Rattus norvegicus: one gene and its partners. The protein of the gene in region 1 purifies or fractionates together with the protein of each later gene. This does not show direct contact. Links are inferred from orthologs where the notes say so. Each region holds a gene or a part of one and is shown in the gene's direction. Other genes may lie near its edges. The genes, in order: Maged2, Nap1l4 and C1qbp.

Region 1 (5,641 bases):
GCTTTCATAGACCCTCAGGACCCTCAGGTTTGAGAACTTTATTATCTTGGTATTGAAAGTTTGTCATAAGTTGGAAAGGATAGGAATTTGGGGTACCAGAATTGGAAGAAAATGAGAGACTACTCTAATGGTCAGCAGACAGAGCCTAGGAGATAAGAAAGTGGTAGGGTGACATTACAAACTTGGGGGAAGTAACAGTTCACAGAAAATGAAACGAATATATAAACCCGCCATGATGCTATATGAAAATGTGTGTGAATCAAATTGTCCATAGAGCATAGGGATTCGTTATCTTTCATTTGTTCAATAAGGGGAAAGGTGACCTCATGGAGCAGATTGTATTTGTGTATAAGAAAGATCTTGAATTTCATTTCTATAGTTTCTATGAAATATAGTTTATAATAAGCTTTTTCTGGGTCTGCATTCACATGCTCTGTTGCTAATGATATTTTGTCTACTTCTCTTTGTCTTTACATTTTATCTTGTTCTCTCGAAGACACCCAATTATTTATGTGAATGTATGAGGTAACAGAAGTGCCATTTCAAACTAGTGAGAAATGTTAATGAGGGTGAATTTGTAAATGCCATAAAAGTCATTACTTTGTACAGTTAACTTACTCTGAAAATGGTAGTCTTTCAAATGATTTGAATCAGCAAAACATTATAAAACAACAGTCCAATATAGACACCAGGATGTCCTTGTAGCATTGTTTGTAATAGTTTGAAAAAGGAGAAACATGCAGAAGGTACATGCAGCTGAACTAAATAAATCAACTATGGGACATCTCTACAAGAAAACATTATACATTACTAAGAAAATATACACTAAGGGAAAGAGGTTTGAATATATAACTTGAAAAAAGCAGTTACAGAACAGTAGCCTGTGTAGGGAGAAAGCCCAAATAATCAGACTATGAATTAAAAAAATATGGAGGAATGTCTGTCAAAATATTCAATATTATGAGTATGTCTGCAGAAGGAGATTAAAGATAGCCGTTCATATTCTGTTACATATTTTTGCTCTTTTTCTGGTTTTCACATGACAACTTTTGTAGTAAGAAAAATAATGATATAAAATAAATAATTTCAATGAATGAATCGTTTTCTTGGGGCAGTTTGGGTTGGAAGGGCTTCAAGACCGAACCTGGTACAGAGGCATAAACATGGGCTTTGGCGTCAGACAGCATTGAGCAGGGCCCCATTGCCCCACCCCCGAGGAAGGGGCGGGGGTAGGGGGCTGCGGAAAGGGGCTGGGCTGGGCTGGGCTGTCTGCAGCTCTAGTCCAGGAGGCTGAGACTTCGAGAGGGACTGAGGAGCAGGCACACGCATCCCAGACTCACTGGAGGACAAGGTGAGGGAACAAGATTGGGCTTTCCTGGTGAGCAGACAGTGGTTCTAACTACCTGAAACCCATAGCTGGGCAGGTGGGCAATTCTTATTTGACCACTGTAGCTGGAGCAGAGGTGCTGCATTTAATGCGGTGTGGGAATGAAGTCGACCAAGAAAGTAGCAAGCTGTATATGCACTGGACAGCAGAGACTGGCAGAGGTGGAGGGGAGGAAAGGGGGAACTGTGCATGTTTGAAGAAGGAAGAATATGGGGGAATAAGAAGGGTAAGGCGAGATCCAGGGACGAGAATAGGGGATGCAGAGAAGGGTTAAGGGACACTGGGGAGGGGGGTGTGCATAGGTAGTACAGAGAAGGATGTAAGGAATGGGAAGAGATTTTTGTAGAGTAAGTAGGAAATGCGATGGGAAATAGGGAGTCTGGAGTCAGGCAGAGGGAATAGGGAGGGGGGAAATAAGGAGTGTTGAGGGGGGAGGGGCAGACGGGCTGGGACGGAGGCCCCCTAGGGAGGCGGAAAGGGGCGGGACCACTTCCGGCCTTTAGTGGGGAGGGCAGTATCTGAGTTTCGGAGGGGCTTGGAGAGAGTGGACACACTCAGGAATTGCAGGAGGACGAGGTAAGTCATGGGCCCCAGCTTTGGATGAGAGCCTGCTAGGGGTCGGCCCCACCCTCTTGGAGTTGGAGAAAACCTGCCTTAAGAGCCAAATCTTACCGAATCCATCCAGCTAGGAAGGGAGGGGACTGGACCCCGTTTGACTGGGCCTAAGTTGGAATCACTAGTTCTATCCTGAGTTGAGGAGGGGGTGTTACAGGGAAGGAGCCAAACCAATTTGGGTTTTACCGTTTGGAGGGGGGCGTGTTAGGATAAAGGGCGGGACCTAGAGACTCTGTGAAATTGATAGGGTGGATGTGAGTAGGGGAGGGGCTAGGACCACCAGACACTGCGACAATTTGGAAGGAGGGAAGACTTGTTGGGGAGGGGGCGGGGCTGAACAGCATTGCGGACCTGGAGAGGGGCGTGTGTAGGAGCTGGGTGCTGGACTGAGACCATGGCCATTGCGCATGCGCTGTATGTATAGCTAGAAAGGGGCGTGTTGAGTAGGGCTTGCAGAGAGACAGGGCCAGCTGCTCAATGCGCATGTGCACGGTGGACTTCAAAGAACGGGTTTGTACTGGGAAAGCAGGCGGGGTTGAAAGGGCGCTGCAGAAGACGCGCATGCGCACTCCAGGCCTGCGGCTGGGGGGGGTGCGCTGGGAAAAGGGGGCGGGGTCCTCAGAGCTGCCGCGCTGGCACATCTTCCTGGAGGAGGGGAGGGTGCGGCTGCAGAGAACTGAGACCTAGAGACAGAATTTCTGTATCTGAGCACCTACTGGTTGGGGCTCGGGGAGGGGCTGGGCTTTGGGGCCCTAAAGAAGGTGAGGCTCAGCTTCTAGGCAGAACAAGGGATACAACGTTCAGCGGGCTCTCCACTTGACCCAGGCCTTCTCTTTGAACTCAGCTTTGCCAGGTGAACTTGAGACATGTCTGACACAAGTGAGAGTGGTGCAGATCCAGCTCGCTCTCAGGTAAGACCGATCCCCCCCACCCTTTTCTTGTTGCTTTGCTTTTCCAGCCCCTTTTGCTGCCCTAAATCCTTGGAGCTTCTCCTCCCATCCTTGTCATTCTCCACCCACTTCTTTGCCTGGGTGCATCCCCTCTCCCCAGTGGAGGGTAGGCCAGAGGGAAGGGAGAGAGGGTGGGCGGGCCCTTGTTCTGTCATTACTTTGTAACTCAGAGAAGGGAGGCCTGTTTAGGCTAGGGTGGTCGGAGCACACCGCAGGTAAGAGTCTTTGCTAGTCAGAGAAGTGTAGCCTCGGAATTTTGGGACCATTTGCCTTGTTGAGGGTGGGAAGAAGGTCAGTAAACTTCTTTGCTTTCCCTTGCAGGGCAAAGCTTCAGAAAAGGACAGCGGCTCCATGATGCAGGACCTGTTGACTGTGACCCAGAACTTGGAGGTCTCAGAGACACCAAAGGCTAAAAAGGCACCAGAGGTCTCAGAAGCTGCAAAGGTCCCCAAAGCCTCTGGGAACCCAAAGGCGACAGAGGTCTCAAAGGCCCCAGAGGCTTCGGAGGCAGCTGCCACCCAGGCCTCACCTACCACACAGCTGAGTGAGACCCAGGTTCTGGCAGCTGAAAACAAGAGTCCAGCAGCTGACACCAAGACACAGAAGGCTGACCTGCAGGCTATGACAATGCCTGCAACCCAGACCAAAACGGTCAGTTCTGTTACCGATTCTAAGGTCAATACAAAGACTCCGGAGACCGAGGCTCCTGCCTCTCAGTCTGGGGCAGATGAACCAGAGCCTGAGGGTGCAGCTGTCCAAGTTCAGGAGAATCAGGATACTCGGCCCAAGGTCAAAGCCAAGAATACCGAAAAGGTAAGATCTCAGCCATAACTGTCCTTGCTTCTCCACATTCATCTTGCTCATTTGTCTGCCAACATTAAAATGATTCCTGTGTTCCTGAAAGACACAGGGAACACTAAGAGGAGTGTGTCACAGTTCTTGTATCCACAGAGCTCACAGGCTGGTGGGGAGATGAGGCAGGAATATGCATAGCTGCAGGCTGACTGGAACACAGTTTTTATATTTACAGAGTAGCTGTACACTGTAGGCCTTGAGGTGGGCATATTCACATGTGTAGTCTCATATCTGAAACTAACTCCGATGGTGTCATTCTGTTGAGCAGGAACCTGATGTCCAAAAAGAGGACTGACTAGTCTACGGTGCTAGAAGCAGAGTCAGTGGTGGACGTGGGAAGACGAAAAGCCTCAGGCCTTATTTCTGACTTGTTCCTGATCCACTCAGGGAGGAAATTCCCAACTGGTAGTCAGTGATAAGCCCATGACTCAGGATGGCTAGTGTCCAGTGAGGAAGACTCTAATGACAAGGGCAGGGTTGGGGGGATGTATCCCAGAAGAGACAGGGTTGGGGGTACTTTCCAGAAGAGACTGAGTTAGGAGAAAGAGCCATCTGTACCACTTGCTGATCTCTACCTTCCCCTCTTTTGATGCAGGGGAAACACCTGGAAGGGGAAGAGGACGGCAACAGTGATCAGAGTCAGACTTCAGAAACCACAGGTGGTCGGAGGGTCTCAAAGGCCCTAATGGCCTCCATGGCCCGTAGAGCTTCAAGGGGACCCATAGCGTTCTGGGCCCGCAGGGCATCAAGGACTCGGTTGGCTGCCTGGGCTCGGAGAGCTTTGCTCTCCCTGAGGTCACCTAGAGCTCGGAGAGGCAAGGCCCGAAGAAGAGCTGCCAAGCTGCAGTCATCCCAGGAACCCGAAGCACCCCCACCCAGAGATGTGGCCCTTTTACAAGGAAGGGTATGAACTCCATCCTTGACAGGTCACCTTTTCCATTGCCCTGCCTGATATCTTCTCTGTTGTGCTTTGGAGTGTGCTGTGGTTTGTTTTTTGTTGTTTGTTTTTGGCTTTTCACCATTTCTTTCTCACCTAGGCAAATGATTTGGTGAAGTACCTGTTGGCTAAAGATCAGACAAAGATTCCCATCAGGCGCTCAGGTAGAGTCCCACAAACACTGTCCCTCTCCTGGGCTCTGCCTTCTTGCCTTCTTACAAATGTGCTGGGGACAGCCTTCATTCTCCTGCTCCCGCCCCTTCTCGCAAAGTTCTCCCAACAGTAGGGTCTCTATTGAAAAGCCCCCCAACCTGGTTTTGCCACCCATGGCATGGGCAACAGAGTGTCTTAACTGGGCATCGGGGTTACCCGCTATCTCTACAGCACAGATGCTTGCAACACTCTCATTTGCAGATATGCTGAAGGACATCATCAAAGAATATACGGATGTATACCCTGAAATCATTGAACGAGCAGGCTATTCCTTGGAGAAGGTGAAGGGGCAGCCCTGGGGGATGGGCACACCGGGGAAGCTTTAAACAGAAGAAAGGTATATGATCACCCTTGTGGAGGGAAGCAGCGACCTACTACGTCCTCATCCCTGTGGAGATGAGCACATGGTGGCCAGGGAGGGGTGGCCACTGACCACACAGCAAGTCAGTGGTGGAAACACACCTAGTACTAAAGCTGTGCAGCTTAGTTCAAACTTCTGTCTGCTGCTGGATACTCCATCTCATGCATTGCAGATGCTCACCCCTCTGTCTCCCTAAATTCCCACCAACTAAAAAGATGCTATAGATAACCACCCAGTGTTTGTTATATGTGCAATAACACCTAACTATGTACTTTATATACGGTAGTCTATTACTTTCTTTCAGAGAGAGAGAGAGAGAGAGA
Region 2 (5,986 bases), on another chromosome or scaffold:
GGTGTCTTATTTTTTCTTTTTTAATATTAAAAAAAAATATGTTTGGGAGGACTTTTACACTGCCCAGAGCATCATTAGAAGAGGGGGGTGTGGTGTGCGTAGTCCAAACCAAATGTCCCTGGCTGCCAAACTATTTTCTATACTTGTCTGATTTAACTACATCTACTCCCCAAATAAAAATGAGGTAAACCCTGGCTGTGGTGCTGCACGGCTTTAATCCAGCACCACGGAGGCAGAGGCAGGCTGATTTTTGTGAGTTCCAGAACGGCCAAGTCTTTTCCACAGAGAAACCCTGTCTTGGAAAAACAAAACCAGCCACCAACCAATCAAAAACAACCTTATATCTTGAGGCATGTCAGAACAATTTAAGTAAAAACATATAAGCTTATTTACTTTTCTTAATTTTGGGAAAGGAACTGTTTTTTTTTTTATATATATATAGTTCCAATTTAAGGATGAGAGAGAAATAATACAGTAAAACAATGCTGTAGACCTTCTGGCCTTCAGTAACCACACTTCGTTTTAATTTTTTGTTTAGTTTTGAGACAGGGTTGTGTTGCTCAGACTGGCCCTAAACTGGGTACATAGCTAAAAGTGACAAATTGCTCATTCTATCACCCGCATCTTTTATCTCACAAGTGTTGGGATTGAAGACCATGCATGCTGCATCACCACATCAGCTTTGTTTCCAACTACCCTGTTGGTAGATTTTGTTAGGAAAAGACCCAGTATCTGCAATCAAGTTATTTACTTTTATCAGATGTTGTCTATTGCTTCCATGAAAACACCATGACCAAAAAGCAAATTGGGGAGGACAGGGTTTATTTGGCTTACACATATTGCTGTTCATTATTGCAGGAAGTCAGGATAGGAACACAAGCAGGGCTGGAACCTGGAGGCAGGAGCTGATGCATAGGCCTTGGAGGGGTGCTGCTTACTGACTTGTACAGCTTGCTTTCTTACAAAACCCACCATCAGCCCAGGGATGATAGTACCCATAATGGGCCTGGCCCTCCCTCATTAATCATTACGAAAATGCCTTACGATTAGATCTTATGAAGGCATTTTTCTCAAAGTTCCCTTCTTTTAGATAACTACACACAAAACCAGTCAGTACAGATGTGTTGAACTTTTCTACCCGAAGGGTAGTCCCAGGTCAGGCAGGAACTGTAGACAGAGGGCCAGAAGGCCTTGGGAAGTAGGAGGTGCTTTGAGTTGTAAGTTATCTGGGAAGAGCGCTGCCGACAAAGCCTCAGGAAGATCAAACCTTAAAAAGAGCCGGTTAGAGTTACAAGCCCAAAATCTTACCCGCGCCCAACAGCCCCTTTAAATAGGCACGGAACCGCGCGTGCGCCGAAGTACACGTCACTACTCTATTTACATATAGCTCGCGGGCTTAGGCTCGGCGCCGTGCCCCCTCAACAGATTTTGATTGGATGCCGCACCTCCTAGTGCCTGGTGCAGTTGATAAACATCTCTATTGTCCATTCATCGCCCGTCTTGCTCCCAGAGGGCGGAGCCTGGCAGTACGGCCAATGGCAGGTGGTTTTGTTGGCGACCACGGCGGCGCAGCCCCGGAGCGAGCTTAGGACGGGCGCCACTGCCGCAGGAGGCGCGAGGTGCGGTGCTGGCGGGTAACGGCGCGGCGGGCGGCTGGAGAGGGACTGGGGCGGAGGAGGCAGAGGCGGGGGTTTGGGTGGCGCGGGAAGGCCGACGCCCCATGCGGCGAGCAGAGGCGGGCCGCGGCCCGGTCAGAGGTCCGTGTGGCGGGTGGCGGCGGATGGCGGGCCCGTCCCTCCTCAGTGCAGCCCCGCCCCCGGCTGAAGGTCAGCGCGCTTTGTTCCCGCCGCCCGCGAGTCCACGCGAAGGCGCGCAGGCGGTTCCTTGAGAGGAACAAGGCCTCCCCAGCGAGGTGGGCCTGGGTGCGCCTTGTCTTAGACCGCGCCTGGGAAGGAAGGGGTCTACTGGGCCGCCGCCTCGCCCTTCCGGGCTTTGCATGCTCTCCGCACAGTGCCCTAGTAGACTTCACTCTCTGAGTCTGCTGTGGAGGCGGAGCCAGTGTAGTGACACACAGTGAGCCTTCAGACCCGTGGGCCCCCTACAGTCGCCAGCAGTACCCCTTCTCCCAGGGGTATTCTTGGGGCAAATTGGCCTGCACTGACTCCAATTCTGCTTTGCTGCCTCTTGGAGGAATTTCCGCGGTAGTTTTCTGCGCGTACGTTGCCGTAATGAGAGTATGCATATTCCCCAGCAAAAGACTCAAGTTCAAGTTTTTGGTCCAAAAGTTACATGCTTTTAAGTTACTGCCACCTTCCTGTCATAGTAGTTGCCTCCTCTCGATGACTAATCTCTGCTTACTACACACCAGGGGCTCCTTTAAGCTCCTGACGTGTCTTAACTCTATTCACAGTAATACGTGATGTAGGTGCAACAGGCAGAGTGTGCCTTAGCAAGAAACGCCTGGGTTCAGAAGTGGTTCAGTTTGTGGAAGATTTGTAGGTTGTCAGGTGAGCATCCCTAATCTGGAAGTCCAAAATGTGCCATAAAGCTCGAAAAGAAATGGGTTTTGGGATGTTCTGATTTTTTTGATATAGGAGTGTTTGACCTATATTGCACGTTAAGTCTCTGTTAGGTCAAGTGTGATGGTAGCTTGCATCTAAACTCAGATTAAATCTGGCTCAGTTTTAATAGTAAATATTTATTGTTAAATACCGTGTTGAATCAGACACCATTCAGATGATCAGTGAGATTCAGAGAGAACAGAGCTTTACAGAGGGATGGTTCACCTGTCTACAGCGACATCATTTTATGCCTTTAACTAAATGCTGTAAAACTCAGTTGTCGGTCGGTTTTTTTCCTTAGTTGACCAATACGATTGGTTCACAATGTCATAAGATCTAAACACTTATATTTTGATGTTTTAGCTTTAAATCCTGAACTGTTTTTCAGAGTTAATATAGAATAACTGGTGAAAATAATAGTGATTTTGTAATTTTCTGGAAATTCTGAAATTTCATTACCAAAGTTCTGGGGAGAAAATGTATATATTTTTGGGATCCTCACAGAAGTCATGGCAAGTACGGCTTGTGAGCTGGCCATTTGACTTTGTGTAGTTGAGTATATAGAGATTACCAGTGGGTAATAAATAGTACTGCAGGGATGGGATTCTTAGGGGTGAGGTAGTTCACCACTTTGGTCTGACTTTGTGCTGGAATCTTAAAATGTCCCAGCTAAGATAGATATAGCAGTATACACAGCTGCTCTGGAACTCTTTAAAATCTGTCTTGGTAACACAGCAAGACCCCTATCTCACTTTTTTCCCTATTTGCCTGTTAGTGAAAGTATACTAAGTCCCTGATAGCTGTCTTTATGCCGTGTATAAAAGTTTGTGTTGTATTTGTATACAAATAAAAAGGCCAGTACCAAAAATTTTGGTTTTGAAAGAAGACAATTCTGGGCAAGAGAGTATTAGAGGTGGGAAAGATGGCTTAGCGGTTAAGATCATTGCATGCTCTTGCAGAGGATCTAGGTTTGAGTCCCATATTCATAGGGTGGCTCCTAATGGTCTATAACTGAAGTCCCAGGGTTCCAACACCCCCTTCTGGCCTCTGCAATTAGTGCACAGACAAGCAGGGAAACCACCCATACACATAAATAAGTTAAAATTTTAAGAAAGGGTAGTTTAAATCTGTGAAAGTCTAAGGGCAACTCTCAGTGTGAAATAGGCAGATAGATGAGTACTTTTGCTTCTTGGATCTAGGCCCAGGTGCCTGAAAAAGAGGCAGTAGTAATGAGCTGTTGGGAACCTCTAGCCAATGAGTACAAGGTTTTTTGTTTACTTAAAAGGAAGTGTAAGTGGGTGTGCTGACTTGTATCTGTATTCCAGCGCTTCAGAGGTAGAAGCAGGAAGCTCAAGGCCAGCCAGCACTACAGCAAGAAAGATGACGTGCATTTAGGCATTTAGAATTGAGGCTGATGTCATTTTGCTGCACCTATTACTGTAGTGGAGGAAGGTGCTCGGGAAATAGCAGGGACTTTCTTCTACCCTCGGCCTTTGCTAGGGATTCCCTGCTAATGGTAGCGAGGAGGCTAGACCACGCTTGGGAGACCTGTTATTGATCGTAGATTGGGAAGCCTATTTAAATAGGTAAATAGCAGAGTCTTGGATTGGACTTTTAGGCATTTTGAAGACATAGTTGATGGTAGCATAGATTTGCTTTCATTTAGCTGTCAGATCTCTGTCTTCTTTAGGGAAGCTCGCCTGTTTTGGTCTGTTATTGAATTTTACAGTAACAGGCATATTGTATTTTTATTGTGTGAAGACTATAAAAGCTAGCTTTGTGAACTTTACCTTTTGACGTTGACTGCTTGCTGCACAGCCTTAAATTTCCTTTTTTCTGTGTTCTGTCAGCTGTTGCAACAGTGTGCTTCCATCCTGTGTCTAGAAAACTCAGTCTAGTGAGGTGAGATTAGCTCTGAGCTTTATGTACAAAAAGATATTTATATTTATGATTGAAGTCCCACTCAGCTGCTTCAGAGTAGCTTTATGGCTTTGTGTCTTATTCATGCAAGATCTCCAGCACATGTCGGGTCTCCAGTGTAAAGCAAATAGTGAGTGCTCTTGCCTTCCTGCAGTGTGAGAGTTAGATGCAGGGGGACACTTCTGAGACACTAAAGTCTTGGGAGGTTGTAATTTCAAATATGGGGGAAGACAATGCCTCTTAACAAGAAGAGATGTTAGTGCTGGATTAAGAAAACTGTCTTAATATCTGCTTGTTCATATTTTCATCACTTTTCCAAGTGCTACAGAGGTACCTCTTCTACCAGAGGAGCGTTTTGCTTGAGGAAAAAGAAAAAAAATTTTCCTTTCTTCCCGAAGCCTGATGGTTTGTTTGGCCTCTAGAAATCTCTGGTGAGATGACCTGCTGGTGGTATTTCAAGTACATGTTGTAAGCAGGTGTGGCTAAGGAAAAGTCCTCATCTTGTGTCTTCCAAAATTGCTTAGGATAGGCCAAGATGTTAAAAGGTAGTTCAGTACCATGGAACTTACATTCAGGGATTAATTAACTGGGCTGAGATATCTGGCTACCTGTTTCATGCCAAGTCCTTTGCTAAGCCCTGAACTCTGCATTGAGTCAGTGGACATGCTCTGCCCTCCTGGAAGTTTTTCTTCTTTGGTCCTTGGCCTCACTGATGAGAAGTTCCAGAAGCAAGCAGAAAAACACCACCTAGCACCTGCAGTGACCAATCTAATGTACATCTGATTGCTTAAAAATATTATAGGCTAACAAGATGGCTCAGTTGGCAAAAGGTGTCTGCTGCCAGGCTTTAAGACCTGAATGTGTTCCCTGGCTCCACATGGTTCAAAGGAGAGAACTGACTCCTGGAAATTGTTTCTGACCTCTATGTGTATGGCACAAACAACTTCTCTACCCCCATCCTAGGGGCCTTTTCTGGTTCCTTCTTAAAACAGTTCATTCCTTTTTTCCCTTTGACATGATCCTAAGTTGCAAGTCAGTACTCCTGTAGGACCTAGTTACACATCCTTAGCTTCTCTGGCCTGCCACTTTTCAGGCTGTGAACCAAGTTACTGTGCTTTAGGGTTCTTTATATTCGTGCACATACATGCATATGTGCTGGAAGTAGAAGTCAGAGGACAACTTCTGGGAGTCTGTTCTTTCCTACCATATGCGACCCAGTAATCAAACTCACATTATCAGGCTTAGTGGCAAGCACCTTTATCCACTGACCCATCTCTCCAGGCCAGTTTAGGTTGGTAGCAGTCATTTGCTTATCTTGTGTTAAGACTTTGAAGACCTTTGGCTCTTATGAAGACAGATAATATATAAAAGTGTAGGTTTTGGGGGGTATACCACTCCACAGCTTATGCCTTTCATTGTCTATCAGGAGTGCCGGTTTAGGTGTTCATGGTTAAGAGCCCTGGCTGCTCTTGCTGAGGACATGAGTTTGGTTCTTATTACCTATG
Region 3 (5,880 bases), on another chromosome or scaffold:
GCTGGCTCCAGAGGAGGCCTAGGACTTTAACCTGGAGGGACTGCTGCAGAGAGGACTGGGGCTCCCCAGAAAAAGGAGTGAAGGATACCGTTTCTACATAACTAACGTATCTGTACAGAAATCTGCTTACCACCCAAACATTGTGGGAGAATTCTAATAGAGTATTTAGTTTTTTATTAAGCTTTTTAAAAAATTACCTTTCAACACAGTTGCTCAGGGATTACATCAGGTGGGAACCCCATTCTGACTCCACAGATCACTACAAAGAAGTTAATGCTTGTCTTAAGCCGAAGGGACAGCACTCTTCAAGCTTCCTTCAGAAAGTGAAATGTTTGGTGATTTTACTACAGTACAACCTAAGCTGCTTTTCCAGTTGGCAAACTCTCCAACATGAAGACTCCAGTCTGCACAGACTAGCCTCCAACAAGCAGCTGGACTTCAGTTAGCAGCCCTGCGTCCTGCCGGTGTTTATCTTCTCTGTAACCATGGCCACGACACCCGGGACAAGTTTCATTACCAGTCCCCTGTGAGAGCCTTTGCTCTCTTGTAACAGAATTCCAAAACACAGCAACATATTTACTGTGACACAATCCTTGTCTGCAGCTACCTACCAGGACCTGTTTGGAACTGTGGCCATGCATCTAAGATGCCATTCCTTGAGCACATAAGCTAGACTATACCTGTGAGGAAACAATTTTATATCGATTGCTGTAGTGTAGAAAAATAAGAAGTGGATTTGGACTTGCACTCTAATCTCTCTGATCTCAAACATAAGAAACAGTTCTTGTATATAATGCTCAAAAATTACTTTTGACTATTAAGTCCATAAAAACCTGAATCTTGTATACGATCTGTGTGGCCTCTTATTTTGGGCCTCCTTTCCCTTATTTAAAGAATGCTGTTTAGAATATTAAACAGTAGTTTCATTGCCATTCATTCAGTAAGACTCGGTATCCAACATTTGCTTTTGGTGTTTTGAGAGGTCTTTTATGTAACCCTGGCTGTTCTGGAACATGCTGTGTAACCAGGCTGACCTTAAACTCGGCTGTTTGCCTCTACCTCCCAGATGCTAGGACCAGAGAGCATGAGCGGGGTTTTTGGGGTGTGTGTGTGTGTGTGTGTGTGTGTGTGTGTGTGTGTGTGTGTGTGTGTGTGTGAAATTCGGTTGGTTAAATTTTGTTTTTGTTTCTTGGGTTGGGTTTTGGATTTTGTTGGTTTTGTTTTGTGTGTGTGTGTTTCTAATGTCCTTGAGAGTTTTGCCTGCATGTCTGCACTACGTTCGTTCATGGTGTTGGTAAAAGTCAAAAGAGGGTGTCTGCTGCCCTGGAACTGGAGGTAGATGGTTGTGAGAAGGCGTGTGGATGCTGGCAATAGAACTCCAGGCCTCTGTAAGAGCAACAGTGCTCTTAACCACTGAGCCCTGTCTCCAGCCTGTTATCCCTGATTCTCAACCTAAATGTGATGATGAAAGCCATCTATTCCTGCTCCCCCCCCCCCAAAAAAAAACGATGGTCCATTAAAACCGGTACACGAATTGTTAGGGGGTGCAGAGGTTTCCAGCATAAATCCTTCATCCTGTTCTTGGGATTCTGGGTCTAATGTGAGGCCTGGATGCCCACTCCACAGCAGCTGCATGCAGGTCAGTCTGAGCTTTTCAGAACTAGGCGGTTTCAGAAGACCGCTAAGTGATCTTTGTTGGGATGAGACCTGAGCGTATTCCACGAAGTAACAAAGTGTGGCTTGGGTTGAGAAAAGCAGGTGAATTGGGGAGAACGGGCAGCAAGGGAGATTTGATGGCCAGGGTAGAATACAGCTGAGCCAAGGCCTCTCGGGCTGCGCTGGCGGCTCCCAGCAGAGGGCGCGGTGCGGTCCGGCCCGGGTACTGCAGTCCTCCGACGTGGATAGCGCTTCCCGGGCGAGGGCGGGGCTTCCGGCGGCTCGCGAGGTCACACGGTGTCTTGGCCCGGTCGTCCTTCCCTTTGCACGTGTCCACCCCGCGATGCTCCCTCTGCTGCGCTGCGTGCCCCGCGCCCTGGGTGCCGCCGCCACGGGCCTCCGAGCCTCCATCCCGGCCCCGCCGCTTCGGCATTTACTGCAGCCCGCGCCCCGGCCATGCCTCCGGCCCTTCGGTTTGCTCAGCGTACGAGCCGGCTCCGCTCGGCGCTCTGGCCTCCTGCAGCCCCCGGTTCCCTGCGCGTGCGGCTGCGGCGCTCTGCACACGGAAGGTAAGGTTCACGCACCCTAGTCGGAATGCGGCGATCCAGCTCGGAACTGGCCCTCATGATCGCAGGTTCCCCTTCTCGCGTCTTGAAAATGTGGCTTAGCAAAGTCGGTAGGGTCGTGGTTTCAAAGTGTGGTTGTTGGGTCCACGTCTTTTTGGACATGGAAGAGGATAGTTGGAAATTCTTTTGTTTTATACGGGAAGTAATAGTAATGAGTTCATGATGAGAAATAACCATCTCATGATAAGTAATATCAGTTCAGCTCAGTAAATATATCCTGGTGTTTTTATAGAGTGAGGAACGGACGTTTTGAGGCGTGATTTACGCTACAGTCTTAGAACAGCCTTAAGAATAGATTACACGCAGTCCGAGTCAATCGGTTAGAGCAACTACCTTTTCTCACTGTTGATCATTTTGGCCTTTCTTTTAGGAGACAAGGCCTTTGTTGAATTTTTGACTGATGAAATTAAGGAAGAAAAGAAGATCCAGAAGCATAAGTCCCTTCCCAAAATGTCTGGAGATTGGGAGCTGGAAGTGAACGGCACGGAGGCTAAATTATTGCGCAAAGTTGCCGGAGAAAAGTAAGTACTGGCCCAGGGGTTGTATACTGGATTCTCAAGTCAGAAGTTCCTGGTTACAGCATCCTGTTCTGACCATCCCCAGAAGAGCCTGAGCTTAGGCCCAATGCTTTGATAAAATGGCTTTAAGAAAGCATTAAACTTGGGAAAGTTCTTAGGTTCCAGGGAGTGCATTCACTGAATGAATACAAGCTTCTATGGCTTGTATTAAGGAGACCTGAAGCAGCTCCAGAGTATGTAGAGGGAAGCCTGTGGGAGGGGCAAACGCAGTTATTGGGTTATTAATGAGGGGTGCTGTGCCAGTCTGGATTAAGCATTGGGTTGTTGTTTTGTTGTTTAATAGTACTGGTAAATCATTTGTTTAGAACTCCCGTCTGGCTTGTGTTTATAATAGTTGAAAGTGCACGTGTGTAACTGTTAAGTCACAGGAAGAAGTTACCATGTAGAAAGGCCATCAGACAAAGGGAGAAGGTTCTTAGCCAAACTTAGCTCTTCCTCTCCTCAAGGGATTCGGTTTGAGACAAGGTCTCTGTGTGGCTGCTGTGTAGCATAGACTGGGCTCAGACTCTGGGTCCTGCTGCTTCAGACACCTGTGTGCTGAGGTTGCAGACATGCGCCACCACACCTGGCACCCCTAAAACCGTTAAACCCTTGTCTGTGCTGTTTCGTGTTACCCATTCACCCACAGTCTTCCTTGGCTAAGTCTACTTGGACTCTTAAGTGCTTCTCTAGCTTGTGTGAGGCTCCAGGATCCATCCCCAGTGCTTCAGGAGCACAGTGTACAAGAAAGTTTTATTGGGGGTGCGGGGGTTTATAAGCTTAGCAGTAAGTGTGTGTGTGTAGATTAGAAAGTTCAAGGCCAGGCTGAGTGTCGGTGGGGCTCACCGCCTTTAATTCTATCACCCTGGGAGGCATAGACAGGTAGATTTCTGTAAGTTCAAAGCCAGCCTGGTCCACCAGCAAGTACTAAGACAGCCAAGGCTACACAAATAAGTCCTGTCTTGAAAAACCAAAATAAGAGAGGGAAGGAGGGAGGGAAGGAAGAAGTAGGTTTAGTCTGGGCTATCGCAGGTTGTACATGCCCTTTGGTTCACCTTGCCATTCTTTTTTCGGGGGCAAAGTGGCAGCAAGGCATTGCCCAGTTGGACTCCAGGGAGCAGCCCCCAGTACACTCTTCTTGGGTTGGTTGGCCCTCTGAATCTGTGTAAGCGGAACTTCTTTTCCAGGTGTTGAGACAAAGGAACTGTCTCTGACTTTAGAACAGGTGCTGTCCATCACATAAGAATTCTTACAGTCACACAAGGGCCAGGGTGCAGCTGTGAACTTCCGCCAAGCATGGGCAGGGTACTTATTTGAGCTCCAGAATCCCCCCAGAAGGGAAAGAAGCCACTAGGTGTTTCAGTTCCTAGTTTGTGGTTGTGCAAAGTGAATCTGCTCTGCAGTGGCTGTGAGGCTTTCCGGGGCAGATGGCTGTCCACCTCCATTAGCTTCCATGGGAAGACCCCAGGACACCAACCTGGCAGCTTCATCCACAGCTGTAGTCATTTAACTTGTAGGTACACTTCAGATGAAATTCTCTTCACTTCCCTGTGTGGCTAGGATGGAGACATTGTTTCAGTGGGCCTTGCTCTCCTGTTACCACTAGGTTAATGTGTACCTTGGTGTATCTCTACCTGCCTTTCTAGGATCACTGTCACTTTCAACATTAACAATAGCATCCCTCCAACCTTTGATGGTGAAGAGGAGCCCTCACAGGGGCAGAAGGCCGAAGAGCAGGAGGTAAGCAGTGACATGGCAGACAGCCAAGATTTCTGTCCCCAAAAGCAAGAACTGTTTCACTTTCACTCTTTTTAAAATCCTCCCTGCTAGGGTGAGGTGAAGGGTGAGCCTCCTGAGACCTGTAATGCAGTCATTCCGAGTGAGTTTTAGCTGGAGTTGTGGATGGACCATGTTTGTAGAGTGTTGTCCCCTAAGGGCTTAGGGTTTATCACGGGCCTGTGCCCTCACCCCTGCCAGTGTTGGGGAGTGGGGATACTTAGTATCCAGAAGCTATCGTTTGGAGTGTTTTCAGTGTGAAAGATGACAAGTGGGTAATCAACACTAGTCATGTGACCAAAATAGGAAGGCCGGGGGCGGGGCTTTTTAAATTGTGTTTATTTGTATGTTTGGGGCTTATGCGTGCAATTGTAGAGGTCAAAAGCAACTTATAGGAACGTCAATTCCATCCTTCTGCCATGTGGGTTCCAGGGTTAAACATCAGGCTTTGGCAGCAAACACCGGTGAACCACCTTGCCAGCTCAGCCTTAAGAGATTTTTAACATTTGATCAGTTGAGATTTTTCCTTTAGTTGCTGGCCCTCGTGACTGGGTCTAGATAGTATTCAGACATTTTAGAAATAGTGTGCCTGGCCTAGGAGCCAACCACTGAGGGGGCTACAGGATCCCCAGGCCATCTGACTAAGCAGATGGCAGTCTTGTGTACTGACAAGCATGAAGAGCGGAGTTCCCTGTTGTGCTTCTATCCTAGCCTGTACCCAACTCCTTATCCGCTGCCTGGGCCCGTCCTTTGGGTCACAGTAAAGGGAAGGTTCTGCCATTTCTGTTAAGGTGGCCACTTAGCTAGAGCCCCTATGTTCCAGGCTCTGATCCTGTACCAAAACAGTCAAAGGGGAAGGAGGTCTAGGTCTGTGCTTCAGCAGTGTGGGGGAGCAGAGATGCCATTCTAAACCCATGTGATTGATAACCTGTTTAGGGCTGTTGGAAGATTTGAGTGCCTTATCCACTGCCTAAGGCTAAGAAATGGGTAATAATAACCTAATGGCGTGGCTGTCGGACATTCTGAACTTCCTGGGGCACCCTACCAACACTGGCATGTGCTGACTTATTCCTGTCTCTCCAGCCAGAACTGACATCAACTCCCAATTTTGTGGTTGAAGTTACAAAGACTGATGGCAAGAAGACCCTTGTACTGGACTGCCACTATCCTGAGGACGAGGTTGGTAGGGTGGAGTCTCCTGACCTGTGTAGCATGCGCGGGAAAGGTCTGGTAGTCTAGACCAGAGGGGAAGATGGTGAGAGTGG

What was found.
Region 2: the proteins of Maged2 (region 1) and Nap1l4 purify together in Homo sapiens (affinity purification with mass spectrometry; 3 studies listed by BioGRID and IntAct, counting the BioPlex papers as one, with this or other methods). This does not show direct contact. The link is inferred for Rattus norvegicus from reciprocal best matches to the Homo sapiens genes MAGED2 and NAP1L4.
Region 3: the proteins of Maged2 (region 1) and C1qbp purify together in Homo sapiens (affinity purification with mass spectrometry; 3 studies listed by BioGRID and IntAct, counting the BioPlex papers as one, with this or other methods). This does not show direct contact. The link is inferred for Rattus norvegicus from reciprocal best matches to the Homo sapiens genes MAGED2 and C1QBP.

What each region holds. Positions count from the first base shown.
Region 1 is NC_086039.1:23,164,772-23,170,412, reverse strand, and holds the start of Maged2 (melanoma-associated antigen D2), read left to right. Parts: upstream 1-1,892; 5' UTR 1,893-1,963; intron 1,964-2,486; exon of another isoform or gene 2,487-2,512; intron 2,513-2,579; exon of another isoform or gene 2,580-2,763; intron 2,764-2,846; 5' UTR 2,847-2,868; coding exon 2,869-2,913; intron 2,914-3,273; coding exon 3,274-3,765; intron 3,766-4,402; coding exon 4,403-4,711; intron 4,712-4,844; coding exon 4,845-4,908; intron 4,909-5,158; coding exon 5,159-5,238; intron 5,239-5,641. UniProt on the Homo sapiens protein: Regulates the expression, localization to the plasma membrane and function of the sodium chloride cotransporters SLC12A1 and SLC12A3, two key components of salt reabsorption in the distal renal tubule.
Region 2 is NC_086019.1:208,170,998-208,176,983, reverse strand, and holds the start of Nap1l4 (nucleosome assembly protein 1-like 4), read left to right. Parts: upstream 1-2,414; 5' UTR 2,415-2,507; intron 2,508-5,986. UniProt on the Homo sapiens protein: Acts as a histone chaperone in nucleosome assembly.
Region 3 is NC_086028.1:56,199,304-56,205,183, reverse strand, and holds the start of C1qbp (complement component 1 Q subcomponent-binding protein, mitochondrial precursor), read left to right. Parts: upstream 1-1,998; 5' UTR 1,999-1,999; coding exon 2,000-2,225; intron 2,226-2,652; coding exon 2,653-2,803; intron 2,804-4,485; coding exon 4,486-4,579; intron 4,580-5,698; coding exon 5,699-5,794; intron 5,795-5,880.